Linked DNA regions of Drosophila melanogaster. The protein of the gene in region 1 interacts with the protein of each later gene in a pairwise test. Each region holds a gene or a part of one and is shown on either strand. Other genes may lie near its edges.

Region 1 (3,927 bases):
CGATTCCGAGGTGCAGCGTACTATGCTGGAGCTACTTAACCAGCTGGACGGCTTTGAGGCCACCAAGAACATCAAGGTGATCATGGCCACCAATCGCATTGACATCCTGGATCCCGCTCTGCTGCGTCCCGGCCGTATTGATCGCAAGATCGAGTTCCCGCCACCAAACGAGGAGGCGCGTCTGGACATCTTGAAGATCCACTCCCGTAAGATGAACCTCACGCGTGGCATTAATCTGCGCAAGATCGCCGAGCTAATGCCAGGCGCATCAGGTGCGGAAGTCAAGGGCGTCTGCACGGAGGCCGGCATGTATGCGCTGCGCGAACGACGCGTCCATGTCACCCAGGAGGACTTCGAGATGGCTGTGGCCAAGGTGATGCAGAAGGACTCGGAGAAGAACATGTCTATCAAGAAGCTGTGGAAGTAGGCGTTGATCGGCCATTGCAAAAGAACCCTTATATTATTTTCAATAAATACATCAGTTAGTAACATAAATGCATTATTGTGTCATTGGATTTACTCCTTAGTCAGTACGCACAACCCAATTATGATCTTCACAGATAACTTTCGTTCAATGATATCTGAAGAATTGAATAGATTATCAGATTACAGTAGCAGCTTTGTAAAAAGTACATTGCAGTGTTTTCAACTGGCTGCTTGATCAGAACAAAAAAAGAGAGGTTATCCATCTCTTTCTTTTTTATGTTTTTTCGATCTCAATGATTCCTAAAAATCCGAAAGGAAAGTACTTCCAAAATTACATTTATGTATGTATGTTTATTATAGTTCCAAAGAACTTACAGGGGACTTGTCGGAGATTTACAATGGTTCACAACACCTTGCTGTTTTTAAAGCAAATGAGCACCGAACAACTTAAGATTTTGACATTAGGACGCGGATCCAGCGAGTCGTTCCCGTTCCGTTTGAAGCACCTGGCAGATCTGCTCATCGTCAGCCACGTCGTAACAAGTCTGTCCATCTGAATCGCGTAGCTCCAGGCTGGCGTGTAGCTCCAACAGGCATTGGAGCGCCTCCAAGTGTCCACAACTGGCGGCGTAGTGCAGCGGAGTCTGTTGCTCCGCATCTCGCTGATTTACACTGGCCCCACTCCGCACCAGGAACTGTATGATTTCGACGGCATTGCGATCGGTAGCCCAGTGGATGAGCGCCATGCCATGCTCGTCCAGCTTAACCAAGTCACTTGGCTGCAGCAGTTCCCTCAGCCTGTCTAGATTGTTCTCCTTCACGTGGTCAAACAGGGTCTTTTCACTGTCCAAACGTTGGTCCTCCAGTGGGACCGACTCAATGGAATGAACGACCCAGCCTGGGTTGCGCCGGGACCGCCAGTTGGGTTGAAGCTCCTGCAGCTTCTGGACGTAGGCCTGCCGGGCAGCGGACTGGGACATTGTTCCCAGATTGCGCCAAGCCTGCCACTTGCTCTTGGCCTGCAGTTGAAGCAGACCCGGACTTTGCTCCTTGCAGGGGCCATTCGTGGCCTGCTTGTAGTATCCGTAAAATATTAAAAGGTCCGCGGAACCAATGCTGTTTGACTGCTTGGCCACATGCTCGGTGGCAAGGTGGAAAAGCTCGTCCACGGTGTCCGTATCGCTGTCCGACATGTCAAAAAAAAAAAAAATCTGCTGAGCTTATAAACTAAATGACAATTAAAGTGGGGAATCTAAGATTTCTGTATGTTTAGGTAGTTGCCCTCCAGTATGTGCTTCTGCTCGTTCTCGATCTTCTCCAGCGCGGTCAAACTGTTGAAGCTAACGAAACCGTAGCCCTTCGAGCACCCCGTTCGCTTGTCGAAGATCACGTTGGCGGACACCACGCGTCCGAACTCGCGGAAGTAGCCACGCAACTCCTGGTGGCCCACTGTCCACGGTAGATTGCCCACGAAAATGCGGTGCACTGATTTTCCGACTTTTGCTACAGCTGCGGCGGTGGCCATGGACTCGGTTTTGCTAAATGAGGTGTGAATTCGAATTAAATATGGTTTTCTGCTTCTTCCAGCCAAGGCGATCTGGATTCCCGGCGACTCCTTACCAGTTGCGTTGCGTAAATACTGCTGCGTTTCTGTTTCACGTCAACTTGCTGTTTTTGTCGACAGAGAGACATAACCTCAAAGAGGCAGCTAACAGCGCAGTGCTATTACCCTACATGTCGGAGTACATTTGTTCATATATGTAATCAATACTGCAGAGGAGCGTACAGATAATTAGTTAAATGTAATCAATTGGTTTGAAAGCCAATGTAATGACTTCTAAGCTACATTACTCCTAAAATAGTAGTTCATGCAAATAGAATAATTATTTTGTATGTCTATAAATTAAAACTATTGGTTTCAATAGATTAATCTCTCAGAATCGATTTAATTTAAATCTTTATCGTGCTAATCATTTTTCTTAATGTCATAATATTCATCCAAATAGAGTATCAAATCGCTGATGTCTAGTAAGCATAAGCTGCTTTCATTCATTATTTGTGCGCTTAACAGCACATATTCGCACTAACAGGTTCTTACTAGCAATCTGTTAAGCGACGAAGTTCTGTAGAACGGAAAGGGAGCGCCAAATTCAAACGGCAGATCAAAGAAAACACATTTTTTATTTTTGATTTTGCATGATTTTGTTTTATTTTTGTAATTCTTTTTCTGATTTTCCCTTCCCTTTCCCTTTCTTATTTATTTCATTACTCTTCAGTTTAACAAATTTGCTATCAACTACTTAAAATTAACAACATCGCATACACGTATCTTTCTCGATTTCCTTGCAATAAATAAACAAATATTGATTGTTATAAATGTACAATACGATCAAAAGAACAAGTGGATAAGGGTGGGGTTAGGGGTAAGGGCGTGTGCAAGCTTTTGTTGTTTAGTTTAGAGTGGTGTATTTATGCTTTTGGAAATAACATTAACTATGGAAGCCGTTTTCACGTGTTTCTTTTTGTCTCTCGCCTAATTCCTCTGCTGCTGCCCGGAATATCCTGAATATCCTGTGATGCTTCGGATGATGTGCCACGATTTCTCAATTCTCAGACTAACTCGGTTCTCGTATAATTAGTGATTTGGCTCTCTAAACTCCCTATATATATCTGTCCCAGTCTGCGGCTCATTAACCTGATCTGATCCGATCCTATCAGAATTAATTTGATTTTTAATTCTTTTCGCTACTTGGCTCGCCTTACAAAATATAAATTTTGCCTTACTTGCTTGCTCCTCGGTTGTTGTTTACTTTAATAGTAGTTTATAGTTGTGGGTTGTTGCTTAGTCGTAAATATATAACTTCCCCAAAAATCTTATCCATAGAAAAGTGTTATGTTTGGTTTGCAAGCAATGAAACTCTTGAAGATCTTTCATCCGTTTAGTTTTGTACAGGAAACAAGGGCAGAACGTACGTAAGTCTATACAGAATCGGTTACATATTTAATAATTATCCATAATAATGATGTCCAAGTTAAGTTTCGTAATTAACTAATTTGTATAACTATAAGTATTTTGCTTCGTCTTGTTAGTTCGTATCTGCACAAAAACAACTCCAGTGTCATAATAGTTAATTGTTATCATGGTATAGAAATTACAAGACTGTTGTTGTAAGTGGCCTTAGATTTAAATTACAATAATATGATATATAACTTGACAAATTTGTTCTTTATGTTGTGGCTTCGCCTTCTGCTCAGCTTTACATTCATATATATACTGTATACTGTATATATATACTTTATACTATATACTGTCTGTGTTCAAGAGTTTTTATTTGATATTATAATCAAAATATACACCCAAAAAAACAAGCGAAAAAAATGTCTAATAAAAATAGCTGGTCTCTACATATATGGACAAGTATGTATGCATAATTAGATTGTTAAAAAAAAACTGTTAGTCTATACACAAAAGGAGAAATAAACCATCGCTTCCAAATCTCC
Region 2 (3,975 bases), about 13 Mb from region 1:
AGCGCTAGTTTCAACTTTGTGAGTTATTAGCCTAAGCTGAACTTGTGTCTTTTTTGGTTTGGTTTAAGGAAATGTGGTTTTCTACTGTGTAAAAGTGTGCTGCGTCCGTGCGGTAGGACGCGATTAGGTATCAATGGCCTGGTCATCGTTGTCATCCTCCGGCTCATGGCCACGTCCCTCGCGAATTCGCTTCAATTTGCGCTTAAGCATCATGACGCCTGCCAGGGAAAATGATTGTTAATCAGATATTCAACATCGGTTAGTGCAGGAAGCTTACATTTTATGGCCTGAAAGGTTTTGGCCGAGGCCGAACTGGTTTCGGAGGGCAGCGAATTGGACGTGGTTCTAATGTGTGCCAGCTTTACCTCCAAATAGGCCTTCTTCAGTGTCTTGTAGTGCCGGAACTCACTGGTGTCCTTGACCAGGATGCACTTAGCCGCCGATCCCTCGCCCGAACAATCCGACGGCGCTGTGTGATATATCTGATGGTAGAAGTATTGCAGCACCGGCGAGTTCCAAATGGAGAGGCCGTACCACAACCAAATGGGCACATTCAGGGAAAGCTTAAAGTTCTTGGCGAACAGCGTGGGTATGAAGTACTTAAAGGGCAGTAGGTTGACAAACACATACGCCCACACCATGATGCGCAGACCGAGGAAAACCTGGTAGATGATCCGGTGTGAATTGGTGCTGGGCAGGACCAACAGGGCTAGCACCTCGGTGAGTATGCTGTACAGACCCACCGTTAGATTCAGGCCCACAAAGTAGTTTTCGTACCTAAAAATAAAGAGTATTTAATATTTTCGAGCTTAAATGGCTCCAGGCTAGAATGGTAGGGACCAAACGTGTCTCGACTTGCCTGTAAACATCGATGGCGACGAGGGACAGCAGGTAGAGTCCCTTGGAGCCCACCTCCAGGAAGTCAGCGTCCTTGAAGTCCAACCACGCCCCATGCAGGTAGAACGTGATAATGAAGATCGAGTAGAACTGAAACTTTTCCGCCTGATGAGATCGATAGAAGATCAGGTTCTCCGAGGAGTAGAAGAGCGAGTAGCGTCCTTGGTTCTTCATCAGCTGCGGCAGGATCATGAACTCGTTGTAGAAGTGCAGGAACAGGCAGCTGGCCGCATAGAAGGCGATGTTCCAAATGACGCGGGCGAACAGCCTCCGCTGAAAGTGCTTCATGCTCGACGACTTCAGAAAGAACTGAAAAGGGAGAGGAGCAATTAGTCGAGCATTGGTCTTGGGTCACTACAGATAATGGTTTATATGGCTTATGGTCAGCGCCGATGGGTCGACTGTCACCGGACTTATGCTATCACCAAAGCCAGGAGCGAAGTGCCAACCGAATGGGGAAGGAAGTACATCTGAATCCCTTAAACAATGACTGTCGGGAGTAAAATCAATACTATCTTCGCCTTATATTGATTTTACAAGAGACAACATATTTAAATAATAATCATTTACAGCTTAGTTGCAAGCCAAAACAATACAAAAAGTGCCGCATTTCGTTGTGTTTTGAAGCTTTTCAAAGGGTTGGTAACAGTATTTTTAGCGCCCCACTCGGTTGGCACCCCGTCCACCCCCGGAATGCGCGAATCCGGCACCGTGTCCGCTCTGTTTATTTATAAACGGCAAATTGGCCGAGCAACCCCTCAAAAGAAAAGTGCAATTGGAGGCGCCGCGTCGAGGGTGCTGCGATTGAAAGGATTTGCCACGTGCTGGACCCACCTGGAAGAGCCGCTGGAAGGCGTAGTAGCCGCAAGACAACGCCACGAATATCCAAAAGACCCCGTTGATCAGGTAATAGAGGTCTATGTCCCGCACCATCGAATCGAAGCGGTCGTTGGTGATCAGGTATTTCAGCGGCAGAAAGAAGTTGCTGATCTCCGCCCAGTAGTCGGGCGGACCGGCCTTCATGTCCAGAATGGAGGTCATGCTGCTCCTCGGCGGGATTTCCCGTTCTGCCGCCCCAGAATCGCGAGTTGGTGTTCCTCGTTTTCAGCCGAAAATTGGGAGAATTTGTTTCGTTTCTATGTATCGATAGTAACCGATAGCTTCGCAAATATAACGTGAAATCAACGGCTATCGATTATAGAACCGCTGCAAAGTACTGCGCTTCTGTTACAGTGCTGTTAGCGTTAACAGCGCGCAAAGTGCGCCAAATTTGAATGACAGTACATTACTTCAGTTATAAGGGGCTTTACCAATTAACATTAAATGTGTATTACATTTTCAAAATGTATAAGAATATTTTTCGCTTCAAGGACCCACCAATATGACCTCCTCTTTGGCCAAAATCGAGGACTTTCCCTCCGATCCCGTTGAATTTTTTAAGGAGATCCTTCAGGAAGCTGCCAAGGGACATCCCGATGGATTCATACAGGAAATGAACCTGGCCACCGTGGACGAGGAATTCGGTGTGCTCAACCGCACTGTTCTGTACCGCGGACTCACCCAGGATAACTGTGTGTTCTACATCACCCATCGGTACGTTCGCAACTTCAAGAACCTTCAGGCCAATCCCAAGGCCTGCATCACCTTCTATATGCCAGATGTTAAGGATAAGGCCGGAAATCAGAATGCCTGGCAGGTGAGATTGATTGGAGCCACCGCCGTGGAACTTGACCAAAGCGAAATGGATGCTTTGTGGGCGAAGGAGAATTTGGCTGCCCAAATCAGGGGTCACATCTGTCCCTGTGGAGAACCGATTAACTACGATGATCTCAAGGCAAAGCACGATCAGTTCCTTCTGGATCACAGAGGAAAATCCATCGAGAGACCAGCAAGCTAGTGAGTTTCGAAGTTTATATGTATATCTATATTTAGTAAATTAACATATACATAATTACAACTTCTTCTAGTACCGCTTGGAAATTCCAACCGCAGCGTTGGGACTTCCTGAAGGTGGGTCTCGACCAAATCGCAGACCGGGTGCAGTACCGCCTTCAGAAGGATGGGAAATGGAAATCCATGCACGTGTCCACCTAATTGTGGTATACCCCCAGTAAAGCCATTATCTTGATTTTGGACGATTTCATTTTATTCAACAATATCTTTCTACAAACAGCTAAACGTACAGACTAACAACTAAATTTGCTTCCTTTTCGACATGTTTAACATACAATTACAACATAGTTAATAAATATTACACAAAACAGCAAAAAAAAGGACGTTTAAAGAATACAGTTAGCATAGAGTTACATAGGTTCGAGTAACATTAGAGCAGGTTAGTTACATAGTACATATGCTTAATTGCCTTACTTGCTTTGCTACACACACACATAATACCCAGTGAGTTTCGGTTCCGTTTTCTACACAAATGCGCTGAGGGGCGTGCCGCCGCCCCCTGGTGAACTATCCCGACTATATCGCGCTGATCGTCTCGCGGATCCAGGCGGCATTCGAGGCGATCTTGTCGTACATCCTGGGCCGCTCCACGCCCGTGGGTCCGCACGCGATCCGCCAGGAGGAGACCCCAATGAGCGCCCACTGATTCGTTCCGGGAATCAGGCACTGGACAGGCGCTCCCGAATACTCCTCTTGCTGAAAATGAACAATATGAAATTCAAAATATAATAATAAAATATAATTTTGGTCCACTCTAAAAAATGATATATAGTTTAAATTTTGGTTGCCAACAGTTTCTGTCCACTTTCAAATTAAATATTTTAAAAATAATTTTGTAATATTATAATAGGATCCACTCTGTTTTTTCAATATTTCACCATTGAATTAAACTCGTGCCACCCCAATTGGCGATCGTGACGTCACACGCACGCGACATGCAGCAACGCGCTTGGCGTAGAGCAACAAAAACAAGCAGTCGAAGCAATAACAAAGTTGAATGAGTAATTTTTGCTTCTCTTTTTTACTCTCTCCAATTGCCATTCAATGTGAGCACGAGCGAACACACATAAGCAACCCCCGTTACCTGCGAAGGTTTACCTAGGATAGCAGAAACAACAACTATGA

What was found.
Region 2: the proteins of anox (region 1) and CG15343 interact in a two-hybrid assay, tested with the Drosophila melanogaster proteins (one large-scale study listed by BioGRID).

The regions. Positions count from the first base shown.
Region 1 is NC_004354.4:21,317,177-21,321,103, forward strand, and holds anox (anorexia), read right to left. Parts: upstream 2,121-3,927; 5' UTR 2,047-2,120; intron 2,038-2,046; exon of another isoform or gene 1,965-2,037; 5' UTR 1,952-1,964; coding exon of another isoform or gene 1,679-1,951; 5' UTR 1,620-1,678; coding exon 888-1,619; 3' UTR 760-887; downstream 1-759. Other genes in the region: Rpt6 (regulatory particle triple-A ATPase 6), read left to right, coding at 1-427; SLIRP1 (SRA stem-loop interacting RNA binding protein 1), read right to left, coding at 1,679-1,951.
Region 2 is NC_004354.4:8,271,511-8,275,485, reverse strand, and holds CG15343 (uncharacterized protein), read left to right. Parts: upstream 1-1,679; 5' UTR 1,680-1,731; coding exon of another isoform or gene 1,732-1,938; exon of another isoform or gene 1,939-2,074; intron 2,075-2,267; 5' UTR 2,268-2,278; coding exon 2,279-2,793; intron 2,794-2,864; coding exon 2,865-2,991; 3' UTR 2,992-3,162; downstream 3,163-3,975. Other genes in the region: CG1636 (uncharacterized protein), read right to left, coding at 124-218, 278-777, 860-1,206, 1,732-1,938; CG1632 (uncharacterized protein), read right to left, coding at 3,367-3,546.